Linked DNA regions of Oreochromis niloticus. The protein of the gene in region 2 interacts with the protein of the main gene of each other region in a biochemical or structural test. Links are inferred from orthologs where the notes say so. Each region holds a gene or a part of one and is shown on either strand. Other genes may lie near its edges.

The links.
Region 1: the proteins of tjp1a (region 2) and cgna form a complex in vitro, tested with the Homo sapiens proteins (2 studies listed by BioGRID and IntAct, with this or other methods). The link is inferred for Oreochromis niloticus from reciprocal best matches to the Homo sapiens genes TJP1 and CGN.

The regions. Positions count from the first base shown.
Region 1 is NC_031976.2:20,778,825-20,788,204, forward strand, and holds the start of cgna (cingulin), read right to left. Parts: upstream 3,855-9,380; 5' UTR 3,641-3,854; intron 1-3,640. Other genes in the region: she (SH2 domain-containing adapter protein E), read left to right, coding at 5,403-5,849, 6,267-6,393, 7,782-8,036, 8,281-8,626. UniProt on the Homo sapiens protein: Probably plays a role in the formation and regulation of the tight junction (TJ) paracellular permeability barrier.
Region 2 is NC_031965.2:19,077,130-19,085,832, forward strand, and holds the start of tjp1a (tight junction protein ZO-1), read right to left. Parts: upstream 3,959-8,703; 5' UTR 3,794-3,958; coding exon 3,702-3,793; intron 3,483-3,701; exon of another isoform or gene 3,468-3,482; coding exon of another isoform or gene 3,436-3,467; intron 1-3,435. UniProt on the Homo sapiens protein: TJP1, TJP2, and TJP3 are closely related scaffolding proteins that link tight junction (TJ) transmembrane proteins such as claudins, junctional adhesion molecules, and occludin to the actin cytoskeleton.

The DNA.
Region 1 (9,380 bases), on a different chromosome or scaffold from region 2:
CTGCAGCCTTTGGAGGTGACAGACAGAAAGTGGGCTGGGAAACAGCGAGGGAGGGTGAAGTGAGAGAGAGAGAGAGGAAAAAAAAACCACACTCCACTTTTCTCCTCTTATCAGTGCTGTGTGTGATAAAATCCAAAGTCAAGCTGTTCCTCCGAAACAACCCTCCCTCTCCTCCAGTCCTTACAAAGGACTGGCTACAAAAGTAGCCATTGAATAGATAACTCTATTTCCACAGACACATGCTTCCATAAATTAATGCAACACTTTTTAAAAATTTCTCTACTAACTTTTTTTAATCTGTAAGACAAGACAAACAAGCCAAGCGACTCTGAGATAGAAGCGAGGCAAGCAGGAGTGGTCCTATGAAACAGTTTCGGAGCAAGATAAGAAGGTAATGACTGGCCCAGCAATGAATGGAGTGACGTCACTGAGAATGACCTTCGAAGGTATCTGTGTGCAGCTGGTCGATTTTTTTCACCCTTTGGGAACCACAGAAGAAGCGCCGTGTGTCACAACAAGTTTGTGAAGCCGAGCATAAAGATTTCAGCCCACTCTTGTAAACCAAGGTCAACCAAAAGTGTCGTCCACTGACGATTGTAGCACAGACACGCAAGAAAAGTGCACTAACTAATAATCTGCGATTTAATGGGACATGCTCATCTAAACTGATGTGACCCGTAAAGCAACAAGTGAGCCAAACTGGTGTAAAGAAACCAAAATGTAAAGCAGAAAGATGTCTGTCTGAGAATATCTGTTTATTTGTCACAGAGGAGGAAGGCACTTCCAGCTCCGACAGCGGGACGTGGTTGGAGGAGAACTCATCCCATTGTCCAGCTGATGTGGGGCGGAAAATGAGGGCAGCAATTCTGGAATGCTTTAACTACCCCTGCTGCTCCTGCCCCTTTCTCTTCTGTCACACTGTCCATCTGATTATAAGAAGTCATTTTCAATGCTTAAATTTTGCTTTTAGGCTTCACTCCAAAGTGTTTTTTCCTCCACAGCACTCTAAATAAACATGCTTTCTACACTGAGAGTAGGATGGCAAACAAGCTCTCCTTTGATCTTAAACTCGTGAGTGAAACTAACATGTCACACCTAAGGTGATTGTTTCAGGTCTGTAAAACCCATGAATTTGTTTTTTTTAAATACAGAAAGCAATCCATTAGCCAATAAGCGACTAAACAGTGTTCACTCTAGAGACCCAGAATCATAACTATGAGTACTGCAACTTTAATAACAGACCAGCTTTGCTTGCACAGCTATATCTGGAGCTTTTGTAATTTCATGAGAGTCGTGCTACCCTGCAGTTATGCTGACGAGCCTGTGCCTGTGGCCTCAAACTCAATTCTCAAAAAGTAAATTGAATTGAAGCTGCTTTCGTTTTAAGACCTAAGGTGGAAAGGAAAAGGAAAAAAGAATGAGGACATCAGAATGGGTGAGGAGAAAAATGAAACAACGGCAACGTGTGGAATCACATGCCTCTGCTGACTCAGTCCACATGGCTAATGTGATCGCATCATCTCTAGACTGGCCCAAAAATGACACCGCTGGAGATGGCAGACAAGGGTAATGGCAACATGTGCCAAAAACATATCCTTAGGGTATAAAAACAACCCTTCATGCCAAAACGTAAGCACTACAAGTACGTAAGCATGTGCTATGTTTTTAAGTAAAGCCAGTCTTCTCTCGTTCTCAAACTATACGAGAACAGCTTTGCATGAGTCACAGTTCAAAACAAACCTTGTTTATCCTATACTGGTCTTTGGTTTGACTCCTCAATTAATTAACACCTGAAACAATTCATTGAGCTCCTCTCCCTTTAAACTTTCTTTTTACTGGCTACCAAAAGCAAACAGAAGGTTTGAACAGCAAGTGGGCGGAGCTTCTGTCCTCATAAAGCCACAAAACCGGACTTGGCAGAAACGGTTTTTCTAATTACACATCTTAATCAGAAAAATAATAATGTGCTTTACTGCTTTTGTAAAAAATAAAAATAAAATAAAAAAATAAAGCAATAATTAAGATTTTTGCATCCAAAACATAATTTTGATTAAAGAACTTTTAAAGAACAGAAACATAAAAATGATTTTGGTTACCGATACTGTTAATTTAGGGCAGATGTGCCATAAAACCTACAATGCGCGGGGGTCTAATAAATTTGGTAAGCACTGTATAAACGTCTTAAGAATGAAAATGTAAACGCCTGTGTGCTGAATGAGCTTGAAAGCGATGGAAAACAGCCAGACACTAAACCAAGGAAGCCTCAAAACACCACATCTGAAAATATTTGCCCTTAAAAAAACCCCAACAAAACAAATAAATCAAAATGTTATCAACTCATAGCTAGTTGGACTATTTGAGAGCTAGTTTACAGCATGCTATAAAGCTGGCATATGGATGCTGTAAAAAACATTTAATCCTCCTTTTCTTCCAAGTGAATCATAAAGTTTTACAGGACTGTCCTGCAAATCACAAATGTCATCATGTAAGCAACAGAGATACAAGTGCTGTACTCTCTCTTCTGCTTTTAAAGGAGAGTCAGGTACTCAGTCCTCAGAGTATACTCCCTCTCCATTACATTCTTGACATAACACCAAGCCCTCATCCTCTTTCACCCTCAAACAAACACCCATTTATTCCTCTTCTCAGTGCAAAGGAGTTCATTGGCATAACAATGTACAAAAAAAATGACACAAAAGTAGGAGCACATAAATACACCCCTCCCTTTTCCAAATTCCTGACACTGGTCTCTCTGTCCTTTACACATACAGGGGCTGAAAGTGTGTCAGTGTGGGAGACTCACTTTATGGCGTTTTATCTGCACACTTGAGTGTATCAGCTGCTTGTACGTGTAACACGGCACAGGTCTTTTATCTGTTAGTCCAATGTGAGGCATTCCCACCGCATTACGAGTTCTGAAACTGTACCCGAAGCTTTGCAGGCTCAATGCTATAATTAGTGAAATTCACGACCCAATCCATGAGCCTTTCCCCACCTCAAAACTATAATCTGCTGTTCCTTCTTGCCCGTGTCATCAGTTTCACATGAGCTGTGAAGAGAACAAAAGCAGGTGTACTTTGAAATGCATGTTTATCCATTGTTTACCCGGGTTCAATCCTTTAATGGTTTCCCTACAGTTGCATTCATCCTTTTGAGCTATGTGCTAAAAACGTTTCTCCTGTACCGTTGTTCCAATGACAGATCTCCTGGTCGCACAGGTGTACACAGGTGTGCACAGAAACGGAAACACCTGGCTCATTTCTAAACAACTTTGTGGTTTTAAAAGTTAAACCTCTGACAATAAGCCTACCTTCGCTATACTTACATTTGTCTTAAAGAGACGTATTATTCTGTTTTATTTGTCATTTACTTCCCTTCACTTAACGGGCAAATCCAAAAGTTATCTTGGAGTAACGTTAGCTGGTAGCGCTGTTTCTCTCGAACCATCGTTAGCTGCTCAGCTACACTGGCTCACAGTGACACTACCAAATAAACTATTACATAACTGCCATAAATCAAAAATAAGTGCCGCTGGGCAGCACCAGAAACCCACAAAGCGTCAAAGTAACTGTCCGAGGAGCGGCGCCTGTCTGGTTTAGTTGTCTGGCTATGAGAGGTCCCAAACCCAGCGTGAACTTACCTCTTTTTTTCTGAACTTATTCTTCTGCTCCTCTCGTATCCTCTCGCCTGCTGTATGCCGATAATAATTCAGATATATTGACTGACATCCATTAAAGCCCACACGGAAACGTGAACAGAAAAACCTAACTCCTACGGAAATTATCACAGCAATAAGTTCATTATGCTGCTGCTGGGAATGCAACCTGTTACCTTTTTGTCAGGGATGTAAACGTTCCGCCCAGCCCCGCCAAGTACGGCGCTGTGATTGGGCCGTTTCGCTGGCTTGGGCGGGGCTATTGATACTGTCTAGGTTTGTAATTGGTGAAACCTCCATGCCACTCATTCCTTGTTTCTGGACCATTTTTTCACCTTTTTTTTGCTGAAAATGGAACTTGTATTTTTTTTTTTTCCAAATAATGACCCGCGTAACCTAGATAAACAAAACTTTTCAAGGACTACTGATAGACGCAGGTGCCTCACAACGTTTATTTCTCCTGTTAACCAGTAGATGGCGCAGCCGTACACCGGCTGGTTCTCTGGGCTGTAGCACTTTGCTATCATAGCAACAAGATTGTAGATGGCATCGGTTGGTGTCTTCCAACCAAAATTGTGATTTCTTTTCCCTTCCCACTGTCACCAAGTGCTTGCTCATAAGGGGTCATGTGATTCTTGGGATTTTTCTTACTAATATTGTTGAGTCTTTATGTAAATATAAATCACCTTCAGTTGATTATTGTTGAGAATACAACAAAATTAAATTGAAAATTGAGAGCTTGAAAAGAAGGCAACGAGACTTCTTTAGATTTATGAGCATGTTTTGCCTCTCATCGAAAGGGCAGAACTGAAGAAGTCTCGTGCACAAGAGGGGAAACATCTTCATGAACCCACTGAAGTCCAGTCTACTGGATAACTGAGAACCTACAGACATATTTAAACTTCACTTTTCCAATTTAAGCACAATTTTTGACATTGTAATAGCTTACCCGTGTAAGATTTAAGAAATCCTGGGAACATCCCTGAGTGTAAAAAAAAAACCCATATAAATAAATATAACTTTTTTGTCCTTTGTTATCTTTTGCTGTTGCAATGTTATGTGTGTAGAGCTGAGCTGAACACAGTTATTAAACTTATTGTGTGTTGAAGAATAAAAAGAAAAGTTTTAGAGTTTGGGTTCTGGAAATAAAAAGTTTTCATGAGATTTACAATCTTCCTTGTTGAGTAAAACTGCCACTCCGCCCCGTGCGCGCAGCTCCTCCCCAGAAACCAGCGACATCCCCCAGTCTGCTCACTCCAACTTTCCTCTCCTTTCACTCCTCTCATCACTTCGCCTGGTCGACAGACTGGACGCACTATCTCACGCTCCGGGAATGGGATCTTTACTGGGTTCAAAGAAAAACTTCCAATTCTTTCGAGTTTATGCTCTGCAAAAGTTACTTTTCAAACTGCAGGGATAGTTGTTACTGCAGGTGCAGGGTGACAGCAACACAGAGCAGCTGGCTAATGATCTCCAAGACGCACCAGAAGTTGTGAGAGAGTCTCAGGAGCTAGGAATCAGCATAGAATCATAAAGTGGGATCTGCTTAAAGTGATTAGTCAGATATCCTTGCATACCAAAGTTACTTCAGTCGAAGTGTGAACAAAGTGAGTGTGCGTAAAGTTGGAGCTGTTGAGGAAGGCTAAAAGTAACTTTTAGGGGGAGGCTAATGCAAGGAGGTGGGAAAAAATCCAGTAACTTTTAGTAACTTTTAAAATCAGTAAGAAGTGTCATCAACTTAACAACCATGGCAAAATGGTTCAGAGATTTCCCCATCAACCTGAAGAACGGAAATGAAAGAGTGCGCTCAGCCTCCGAATCTGGTCCACAAACTCGACCCAAACCTTCATTTTCACGAGACAGTTTGAAAGGAAATCAGCGCAGAGATGGGGGAGTGGGGGGTTTGTTGGCAGGGAGAAATAGGAAGAATTCGGCTACAGAACTGGGTCGTAACAATGCTGGTTCTGGTGGAACAGTCTGGGACAGTCTCACGGCTGGAAAAGGTCGCAAGAACACCAAGAGCGACACCGCGTCATCGGATGAGAACCGCCAGGTCAGGACCTCTAGTGTGGCTCAAGCGTACATCAGCAGGATGATCAAAGTGGACAAACAAGAAAAGACCCCCAAACTCAATGGGATATGTGAACAGAAGCTACCCGAGAACGAGAAAGGACGATCTGACATTAAAACAACGGTGAGTAACTTATAGAAATTATATAACATGCCCATATAACATGTCTTCATATTTCAGCAGCTATTTATTTATGAATTAGTTCATTAAAACATCATTATAGTACAGGGCTTAAGGTCAGTGCTTTCCTTTGTGTTTTCCCTCCATGTCTCAGATCATAACCCTGTATTCAGTTTCCATCGTTCTCAAAAGAATACAATACAGTTTCACTTCATTGTTTCAGATCACACAGGCAAACACAATGCGCTGACCTCTTTGCACAAGTATTTCCGCTTGTCCCTCCATTACTTGTCACTCAGTCATGGACACCACACACATACACACACGCACAGACACACACACACACATGCACACTGCTTGTTGTCTCTGTGACTTTTGAATAGGTAGCAGGCCGGCATTGTGCTTTTCCCTTTTCAACAGCTGATTATCCTGGAGGACTATGCAGATCCTTTTGATGCGGAGAAAACAAAGGAGCAGAGAGAAGCTGAGAGAGCAGGAGTGAATGATGGGTACATGGAGCCTTATGACGCCCAGGTCATCATCACAGGTGAGGTCAGGGTCACATGATCTCGTATCTCAGCAGCCAAAGTTTTATTATGAAGGTGCTTCTTGGCTTTCCGGAGTTTTGGACTGTTTTCTCAGCAGCTGAGCAAATGTGAACGACATATTTTTGTGAATATAGCAGAAGAATTCAGTCGTGAACTTGGTCCTACAGCACATCTTTAAACAGAATGGCAGAATCGCTTATAGAAACACAACAATAACACTAGCAACATCCTTCCTACATCTTCACCTTGTATTTTTTTCTTTAAGTTGACTATCTTTTATTTTTCTGAGAACTTAATTCCAATTTTTTAACCTTTTGCTTCACTTTGTATATCGTGCTTGATAAGCCAAGTGTATTGTGAGCTCGTAAAGGAACACTAATTATACATCTTATTTAAGTTTATCAGCACTTAGACTGCATCACATTCTTGTTAACTTATCATTTTAAAGGGACTGAGAGCCAAGCTAGATCCTCAGTCTCTCTACTGACTTCCCTCCCCGCTGGCGGTGGCTATAGTAACAGTGTTGTGCAGGGACAATGGGTGCAGCTTCCTCTTCCAGCTTCCTGTCTCCTGCCTCTGTTTCCTTTGCCCCATTCTCTCGATAGGACATTGGCCCTAATGCCCTCCTGCCTCCCCTTCCACACATACACAAACACACAGAGACAGACACCAGATACTTTATGGTCCCCTGCATGTGACAAGAATCGAAAGCCCCCCTCTCACCCCTCCCTAAAAACCTACAGGTTTCCCCCCGGTCTCACCCAATCACTTCCCAACAGTCAGGAAGCGGTCCGGTTAGTGAGCCAATCAACGGCTGTGTTGACCTTTTCTTCCTGTAAATCCATTGTTTGGTCACACAATAGTGTAGACACACAGGCTACCTGCCGGGCACCAAATGAAAAAACAAAAAGGAACATAACAATTAAAATTCCCCGAAAATGTTAAAAAAAGACAATATTCAAACAATACTTGATTTATTTAAAAGAAACGAGCAAATGAAGGACAGAACAGTGGAGTCTATATATGTAATCAGCACAATGTTGCTTTACAGACTGTGTGGTGTAAACTCCTAATTTGTGCACTTGAGTGAAAGCTTGTAATAAACTAAGGATGTTTCTAAACGTCAGTTTTATTCTGTATTTTGTCCAAAATATCTGATTTGGACTATAGTGGTTATGTTTGAAATGGCACGTAAATTATTTCAGTAAAAGTACATTTTTAATTTTTTTCTACTGTAATTTAGTTGTTTTTCTGAACACATATTGTAAGGGAAATGTGCTTTAAACACTAAGGTGGGGGTGTAATATTGAAGGGAAGGCCAATTATGTGCCTTTAGCTGTTCAAGTCTTATATACAGTTAGCTAATCACATATCCATTCTGCTGTAGAGGTTCGTAGACGGGGCTCCAAAGACCTCTTGAAAGTATGTGTCCTGTTGGATCGAGGCCAAAGCGAGGGGAAGGCAGAAGAGGTAATGCCTGCACCCCCAAACATCTATGACATACCCTACGAAGGAGGACTGGAAGGCGACAGTGAGGGCGTGTGGATCCCTGTCACACGACCGGAGTCTGATGTCCGTCCAGCTGGAGAGTACGAACTGCCGTGGGAGTGGAGAAAGGAGGACATTGTTAGAGCTCTGTCAGGTAGAGAAAAGGAGGGAGGGATCATGGGAAGGGTGGGGGTTTAGGGTTTAGGGTGTGGAAGAAGGATAACGAGGATTTTGTTTGTACAGCACACACATAACAGCAATTTTGTGTTTACTTTATTGAGGAAACAAAACAATCCTTCTGAATTAATTTCCAGAGATATGTTTACTTTGGTATCACTGGCATGCTTTGATAGAACTTTATTATGAAAGGTTGATATTGTCTCTCCTGCTTCTTTTAGCTCAGTTTGAAGCGGTGGATTGTTCTCTCAGTAAAGAGAACAATTCAACCCCTGGTCGCCAGCAGCAGCAGCAGCAACAGCAGCAGCAGACCCTGAGGCAGAGGAACTGGAGCCATAAAACACTTGTCTCCTCTTCTCCTTCATCTTCCTCCTCCTCTTCCTTTCCATCTTCTCCTATTCTTAAACTCGCCCCTCTCACACAGCCATCTTCCTCCTTTCCCACCCTCAAGCTCTCACCCTCGTCCAGCCCTACCAAACTTTCCCCTCCATCTCCTACCTCTCCCATTCCCCCACTGGATGGGGAGGCGACCAAAATGGACCCCAGCGTGCCCCTGGAGAAGCAGAGGTAAGGAAGGGGGGAAAAAAAGGCATATTTGTGTCCATAAGTAAGGACTGAAACAAGTAAAGTTTTGAGTAACAAATGAATAATATGATGACTGCAAGCCACCATATTTATTACATGGCAGTGTTGACATGTTCAAAAATATTATGTGCATTACCTGAGACATTTAAGACAGGTTTTTGAAGCGCAAAATATACTTAAAAACAATTACATTGAATGAAAAGTCAAATAAACAAATCTGCAGTACTTTAAAAAGATTACATAACTGTATAAAATTTATTAGACCTTCATCTCCAGAAGGAAATTCCCTGTAAAATAAACATATACAGTGATATAGATACCTTATTTGTCAGCTAGCATGGTGTTAAGTGAATATGTCCAGGGTTTAAATCCAACCTCTTAAGCCCAAAATATTCCCCAGGGAAGAGTCTTTTCTTTTTATGTATCATTTCTTTGATAGACCTGTGACCTACCTCTCACCTCTGCATGCTGAAATCAAATTTAGCACCCACTACAACATCCCTGAACAGATTTAGTGGTTGAAAGGGATTAAACAAATGAGACGACAGGTTAAGAAATCTGCTCACCTTTATCTCAGATCTGTGTATTGTAGGTCTTTATTTAAATTAATCACATTTCCCAAAGCATCGTCAGCGTAAAGTGCACCTCATATTTGCTTGCTCTGTAGCTCCACGCTGCATTTTTTTTATTTATTTACGATAAGCCTACAATTTTTAGAAGAGCCCTCCCTTCCCAC
Region 2 (8,703 bases):
TCAAGTCGTTTATTTATCGCTGGGGGTTGAGCGTTTTGAGCCACTGCGTAGCCGCCTCTTCATATTTGTTGCTTATCTGACTGTGGAAAAAAGTTTCATTTCAAATCTTTCCTCCTGTTTCCTCTACAGAGAGAAAGCCAGTCTGCATGTAAAGGGACTGGCTCATATACAGTGATCAGTGATCAGAAGTTGATTGCTAAGCTATAGTTGTAAAGGTAAAACTTTAAACAATTTTGTTTTCCAGCATGATCACATGAAATTTACAATGACTGTTCAGCCAATTAAAACACAAAACAAATTAAGCGCTACCTAAATCACATGCTTGCATTTGCCAATCACAGCTGTTCTCTATCATATCAAAACTATCTCTCCACTCACAGCTGTCCAGAAGTGGCACCGGTGATGGTTTGATCGGAACGTGTCCCAGAGCGGCCAGAAGCTAGTCTCTCACTCAGAGAACCAAGGTTACAAAGTAACCAACTGTTCTCTGCATTCAAAAACAGATACAACAAATTCAAATGTTTGGGACAAAAATCTAATTTCTCACAACAGATCATTGTCTGTTGTTTGGAAATACTTTTGATTTAGTGCAAGTGAAGAAAATCTGCAAAAAGAGTTGTGTGTGTCTGCACTGCAAAGCAACAAAGCGTCTTCAGCTATCTGAAATAAAACAACAAAAACTGCAGTATAATTCATGCATGAAGTCAAAGAGAAACTGTGCAATGCTAACATTAATCATCAACTCACCTATTGATAAAAACAAGGGTCACACCGTGCAAAAGACGTGTTATCCCCTCACATACTTTTTTTCCAAAGAGACAAAACCTGTCGCAGGAGTAAAATAAAGAGATCTCACAGCTACTATTAATATTATCCATCATGCAGGTACAAGGAATGGAGTGAAAGACCCTACCTTTAATATTCTAATAATCTCATAATACGTGAAGATGTACACAAATCTTTGCAAGTTCTGCTTACATAAAACAATTTTTGCCACTAAAATCAGTGAAGAATCCTGACAAATATTTGTGATCTCAATATTGTACAAAATAATTATACGACAGTCAAAATTACTCCAACCAGTTGCAGTACTGTCGCAACCACGACAGTACTGGAGGCAGTCGCTGTCCAACCTCGATGCTGAGATTAGTTAATCGCTCTACACGCCTACTTGATCTTGGCAGCAGTTATTTGGGACGTTATCGCTGCAGCTCGCTGAATTTCAGACATTTTCGTTGTCTCTGGTCGCGACATCACAGCCAGTCCTGTTCTTACGCTCGTTAAGGAACAACATCTCCCATTACCTGAGTGCAAGTGAGTCTGATATAAATCATGTATGAGCTAGGTCTTCCAGCAGCAGCTTATTTCTGCGTTGTGCAATCTCAACCTTGTGGTATGAATGGAAGGAAACCAGACCACTTACTCAACCTTTCAGAAGACGCTGACATTTCATTTAGTTATGAAGATACAAACTGTTCAGCCTGGCTTCTTCGGGTGTTTAAATTCCTTTCTTGTGTTGCACGAGTCAAAGAGTAAAGTGAATGTAAAGCAATGCATTTTTCCCTCTGGAGGACTGAAATTAAGAAACTAACTACTTCTAAATATGAAAGCAGTTATATAAAACAGATTGAAGTTGAAGCTACAACTCGTCAACTGCTATTAGCTCACCGGTTGAAACACATCAGGATTAAACTTCTATGATGCACAGTGATCACCTAAACTTGGGTCATTGCTTTGGTATTCCAACCTAAAGTCACACCTTACATTTTTAAGCATTAGCTCAGTCTTCACAGCAAGCGAGTTACTTGTGTGCACGTGAGCCTACTGACTCTGGACTCTGACTTCACTGAATAAAGACGGAAATGGCAGGCAAGAGAATCCAAGGGTGACTCCATGAAACACACACTGCAGCTACACGCTGGCTCAGCTACGCTCCGTTAAAGTGGCTGTCGGAGGCGATACAGTAATCCACTTTTAATGGCCGTGTCCCTTCCCCCACCGTGATGTGATGGCCCCGGACATACCACTGCGCCTCTCTTAAGGGAGAAGTGTCAAAACCAAGTCACCGCTGTGCGCTGTCCTACATGTTTGACAGTGGTTGGAGAGGAGCAAACCTATCCTTTCTCCCATGTGAGATCATTTCTGATTCAAAGTAATGGACCCATTTGCTCCCACATGTAGGATGGACCCCCTCAAAGCCTTGCACATCCTACGCAAGGAACCAGAGTTTGTCTTCTCAGTGTAAAGCAGTGCAAATCTGTAAGGATTGTGCTGGGTGCTTAATGTTATCTGCGTGGATTACAGTAGAAGAAAGACTGAATCTGCTCATTGTGATAAGATCCTATAATTAGACTGAACACCACTCTGCTGTGTCACGTTTTCTTTTTTTGTTCCTTTTCTTCTTTATAATGCTCCTTATTTCAATTAGTAAAAGAAGCGTTCTTCACAGTTTCCTTTATTATGCCCTATAGTGCAAACACATTCACAGTGTATCACAGTATAACAGCCTCTGACAGGTTGTCAGAAGCCAAATAAGGTTAAGGCAGTAGCATCTTGCGCCCTGACACCAACTAATCAATTCATCGAGTGCATAAAGAAATAGGTCAGTTTGTCATTGGTATCATATTTAAATCATCTTTGAAGAGAAGCTCAGTGCAGCATTATCAAACTTTTGTTCAGGTAAATTTTAATAGTTTTGTGATGTAAAAAAAATATCTGGAGTTTATAAATGTTGACATGATTTCTTCAAAATATCTTAGTTTGCTGTCATCTTGTCATGTAGCTGTGAAAGCTAGAAGCAGAGAAGAGAGATTTTGTTTCGTTTTGTTTCAAAAAAGAAATCTTACAGTATTAAAGCATCCTGGGAACTTTTGGAGAGAAGGAAAGCGATGGGGAATTAATTGCAACAGAGGTGAGATGTAGAGACAGCTTTCTAAAATAAATTTTAAAAAAGTCTTTTGCTTGTTAAGTTTTGCTGATTCATCCGGAAACACCAGAGAACATTTTTAGACGGATAAATGATATCAAACGTGGACGTGTATTAAACTAGGTGGACATATTTAAATGGAAACGCACGGAGACGTGATCAACCAATGAGAGTTAAACACCAAGCACCGCTCCTACACAAATGCAGGTGGCAAGAAGCTGCTAAATAAGAGATGAGCGTTTTTTGGGTTTTTTTTACTACTACACGTGATCGCAGAAATAGACGCGAGACCAGAGAGCTGCTCGGAAAACTGAAATCGCCGAGTGCGTGCGGGTAAAATAAGAAAGCGGTGTGTGTCCGCGTCGTTTCACTGTTGCTGTAAATCCACCTGCTCTGTTTCGTGAAAACCTCACCAGCGGATCATAACACTCAGAGACCACCAGGAGGAACACGGAGAAGGGGCGATTGCGCACTGTTCACCCCTCTCCTCCTCCTCCCCGCCTAAATACCTGCTGGGTGTCGATGTCACCGGCGCGCACATCAAACTGTTGTTGAAGGCAGAGCGTCACAGAGGCGGATGGAGGCAGTCGCTTCCGCCAGCAGCTGCTGAGCTTCAACTTCACAGCAGACATAGCAGAAAAGCGCGACTGGAGCTTCTCAAACAAGACAACAAAGCCCAGAGGTTCATTTCAAACCTGCTTTCCCCTACGCTCCACACGCACCAACACACGCTCCGAACCAAAGCGCGCACCTCCTCCTCTTTGTCCATACTCACCACAGCTGTCTCTTTGCGGGGAGGCAGTCTTTGTTGGAGGCTGTCACTCCCATGGCCATCTGCATCACCGTTATATATTTCTGGTACTTCATCTTCTCCTTCTGCAACTCCTGCTGCCGCTTCTGCTGCTGCTACTTTTACTACAACTACAACTACTGCTGCTGGTGCTGCTACTTCTAGGAATCCGCGCGCCACCAAAGCGGCACAGGTGAGCGTGCATTCAAATGTCTGTTATTGTCCCCTCGCGTCATCCGCGGCATCCTCGGTGTCAAAAACGCCATTTCCACGCTGGAAGCACCGCTGACAGGGAGGACGTTCCCGGAGGAGTTCAAGGAAAGGTGCCACGCCGCCGCGACCCATGTCCGCGCTGACCCTCTAATCTCATTAGAGCTCAGAATAGATTGGCTAATCTATTCAATTTTAGTCAGGACCGGGTCATTGTTGTGGTTTGCCTCGTATGGCGGACACTTTCCCGGCCGCCAAACCGTGAAATGCCGGTTTGTTTGTGTGGAGAAAAAGAGTCGAGGGAAAGAGGCGGTTCAACAGTGAGCGGTAGGATGCAGCGGCGACGGCACCCAAGCGTCTGCGAGGTAGGAAAGAGAGTGCGCGTGTGTTCAGCCAGAGAGGGAGAGAGCAGGAGAGTGACACAGGAGGAGGGAGGGAGGAGGAGAGAGGAAGCCATGTAATGGCTTTAGTGTGCGTGCGTGTGTGTGTGTGTGTGGAGGGGGGGGGAGACGTCGTCTAACTGATGCTTAGAGAAATCCCAGGATTGTAAAACTGAGAAGGTGTGTTTTCGACCTTGTTTTCTGCGAGATTGGTCCATTAAACTGAATTAAAGCATGGGGTGGATTTAAATATCATAAAGTGGAGGTGGAGAGGAACAAATCAGCTCATATGGAATTAAATAATCAGGAGGCAAGTAGGTGACCAGATTTGGTAACCTGGACCTTTAAGTATGAAGAATGAAAAAACCCCATGTATTACAAAGGAGAACTATTCCTGTATTCCTGTGCCTATATAAAGACTAAAAACATAAATGCAGATGATACAGGAAACCAGCTGCCTTTTCTGAGCTTCACACAAAGTGGAAAAAAACTGTCCTCCAATTGCAGGAGTCAAAATATGTTGTTTTTTAATTTATTTTAAACCATTGAGCTCATATTTTCCAGACTAAAGACAAAGAGACCAATGAGTACAAAAGCCAGCATCCATCATTTTATGAGGCACATCTGACCATGAAGCAGAGGTAAGTTGCAAATCTGTGAAGGCACCATGAAAGCTTAATACAAGTTGTGGCGCAACATTTACTAATGATGTCGTTTACTAATGACCACGCTCTGCATGTATTAAAACATCATGTCTGTTGACCAATTGTAAAAATTATTCAGTGCAATTAAAAATACAAAAAATGATGCTTTAGACTAGGGCTGTCAACCATAAGGCCCAGGGGCCAAAACTGGCCCACCAAAGACACCAATTTGGGTCCCTGGGTGGCTCTCGAAAATGTGAAGGAGAGCATACATTATGGACACACCCCCACAGTCCCAGAGCCATTCATATTACACCAAATTAATTAAGTAATAGATAAACAATTAAATGACTAAAAGTTTGTTTTTCACTGTCTGCTACAGAAATTTGTGCTTTTTATATGGGTTTACATTAAAAAAAATATTATTAGAGGGCCGTCTACACAATGAGCTACCAGAACTTTTTCTGTCATTTTACACATTTAAGCCCAATGAGTCATGCTGACAGATTTTTCTTTATCATGTAGAAAAAATGGGATGTGCTATTGAAATTGTACGTCTTTTTCTTTCATTAAAATACCTCAGGGATCGAATGTGTAAAGTTGGTAACTCTGAGAAAAAGGGGTGTTTCACTGGTCCCGCCCTCGTAAGCTCAAAGGGGGCCATATGTGGTAACGTGTTTGACATCCCTGCTCTACACTATTAAAGCCGAACTCGTAAGTCCGCCTGGAATAGGAAAACATTTTGCTTTAAATACTTCAGTATTATTCTCTCCACTTCCCAAGTTCTTTTTTTGTTTTTTCACAGAAGAGGTGATAAAACAGTGAAAGAAAACACTGTACCACCATTTTTGAAACATATTACTGGCAATAAATTCAAAATAAGCAACAACATGTTGTATTTGTAATATTTTCAGTTAAATATAGAGCTTAAAAGGTTTGCAGACTGTTGCATTGTGCTATTTTTTTTAGACATTTTACTCCGTTTCCAGTCTTTTTTGGAAGCATGAGCTGTGCATTAAAATCTTGGGTCATCTTAAACCACCACACAGCTCCAACTGAATAAAATGGACAATCAACATTACTGTAATAAGTAAAAAATATATATCTCCTCTTAATTTATTTTAATATACTTGCTAATGGTGCATATTATACACACATAAATACATTGTTCTTTTACATTTTCCAATAACTAGATTAAAGAATATTATAGTTAACATTATAATGTAGATATTATGATGGATTACTAATGTGTTTTGTTTTTAACATACATGCTATACCTCCTAATGCCATCCATACTAAATGCAAGGCTGAGGTTACACTTACTTACTGTTAGGTCTAATTGTTGAATGTTGCCATTGTGTTTCTTAAATTTGTACAGTCTTAGTTCAAGCAGTATTATCAAAGCTATTCCTTTGATCCTGAGCACCTCTAACCACTTTGTGTTGGGGGAGGTTTTATAGCAGATACATCCTATCTGGAAGATCTACTTCCTTTGATGTAAGCTTCCTGCGTTTACGACCCTTTGGTCAGCAGGAGGACACACACACACACACACACACCTGCATGCATATACATACAGTGCCTTGTCTTTGTAACCAAAGGGGGTTGCGAGGGGAGGTGTTTTGTAAACTATTGTTTGAAGTTTGTCAATAAAAGCCAGCGAGAGGAGGCCCTCATCGGGGTCACTTCCATGCTGGACATAGACGAGGCCTCCCTTGCGCAAGTAATCGATCGATCGCTGACTGTCTTGTTTTCATTCATGATGAATAAGTCTCTAGAATTAGCGGGGTTTGTGGGAACAGACCCAACACTTACCCTTTAGGTGCTGATAGTTCACAGAGTGTCTACAGATGATAATCAATTCAGTGATTGATTCGGTGTCAAATTTAAATGCCCAGTAAATACAAGTCTTTAGTGAGACCTGAAAGACGAGGGGACGCAGAGGAGGCTGTGCGCTCATGACCTAAGGAGGAGTTACTCCCCGTGTGCGTGACATCTGTCAAACAAGTGAAATGCATTTCCCAGGGCTGTCGAATAATTTAGATTATGATGTAACCATAAAGAGAGTTCACAGACTCCTTCTGCATAAACCCCTTGGGCAGGACCACTTACCATTAAAGAATTTGGCAATGAAGCTGGATTGCATCCTGCATATTTTATAATGAAGCTGCATCACGAGGGGAAACAGCATGTCCCTATCCCTGTATTTACATATTTGTTCAGACTAATAAACAGAATGAAAGATGGGAGAAGGACTGAGTATAAACCATAGTCCCCTTGAGACGGCCCATGCACCAGAAAAAAGCAAATGTAGATATAAACTCTATCTTTGACCAGCAAGCCAATGCAAAGCAAGCCAATGGAACCAGCAAGCCAATGCAAAGGCAGGTAAATTTTGGATGGAGCAAGCTGGTGAGCAGCTGGTGGGGAAGGTCAGGAGGAAACTGCTGTTATCAGCACTGCTTGATATTGGCAGCTCTGAAAACAACAGAAAATTCACCCCAAAAAACTGAACACAGCCTCTCATGAAACTCCTCTGATGTTTATTTACAGTTCTTGGAGTTGGGAAGAGGATTAAATAAACATGTACACACATACACACACCAGCGTGCCAGTGGTCTGAAGGAGGGTGAGGTCACCACAGCAGTGATATGGTTTTAAGCCAAAAAGGACAGCGAAAACTGACGCACGGTCCTCAGCAGGCTGTCGATATTCCCTTTAATCTCTGGTATTAAACGCAATTTACTGGCTCCATTAGCCCCAAAAGTTTAAAATAGATTCTCTGGGCCTCACTTAGCTTCTTCTGCACTCATTTTATGGCCTCAAACATAAAACTACACCTCCTTATATAGCCACAGACAAAAAAACAAAACAAGGCTAACTGTCCCCAAACCCAGCTGCCACAGATGTGATGTTATGGTGGGTTAAAGAGGGATTGAAAAGAATGCTGGTTTGGTTAAGAGTGAGATTTCCCTCAGGAGCAGCAACCATCCAAATGTGTTGATCCCCCCCCCACCGCCATAAATTACACTATCCACTGGCCCCTGGCCACAATTAATCACATGACCACAGCAGCCAGATTAAATCTGTAGCCTTGGACTGCTCTCCTGTCTCACTCTTGCTCTGCCTCTCTTTCATACCAAAAAGCAGACAGCAGGAGCAGACACATGGACCACATCAGCTGAGCATACAGCGGCAGATTATTACGTCTGAGTAAGCACAGAAAATTAGTCACCGAATGGCTGATGCGTGTCATCATTCACCTGTCATCTGTCTCTCCCTGCTCTGAGTGGTGTCTGTACAGCTCACAGGGACTGCCCCAGTTGTTATTATAGACCGCTTTTTGAAGTTTCCTGTACTCACATGCCCTTCAACGACAGCCAAAGAAGGAAAAAAACACTGCCAGAGGCCAAATTGTCACTTTTGGAGTGATGAAGAAAATCAGTTATGTCTTTCTGTAGTGGAAGTGTGAAATTTAGATGTGAAGAAGCAAAAGGCAAAGCAGGGCGATTCAAGTCTGTAGTACAGAGATTACACAACTCTGGTTTCCCAGAGCATACAGTGGGAAAAGTCTGGAAAGTCGGATAAGTTCATTTAATGGATATAGTGTTGGGTTAGCCGCTTTAGAATTACCCAGGATACCTTTGGGGGTATGAATACCTCGATTTCTCTGTCTTCCACGTAAACATCATATCCTATCGATGATCCAAAAAAAGACTCAAAACCAGGATAGCCGTTTCCCTGTGCAATGTG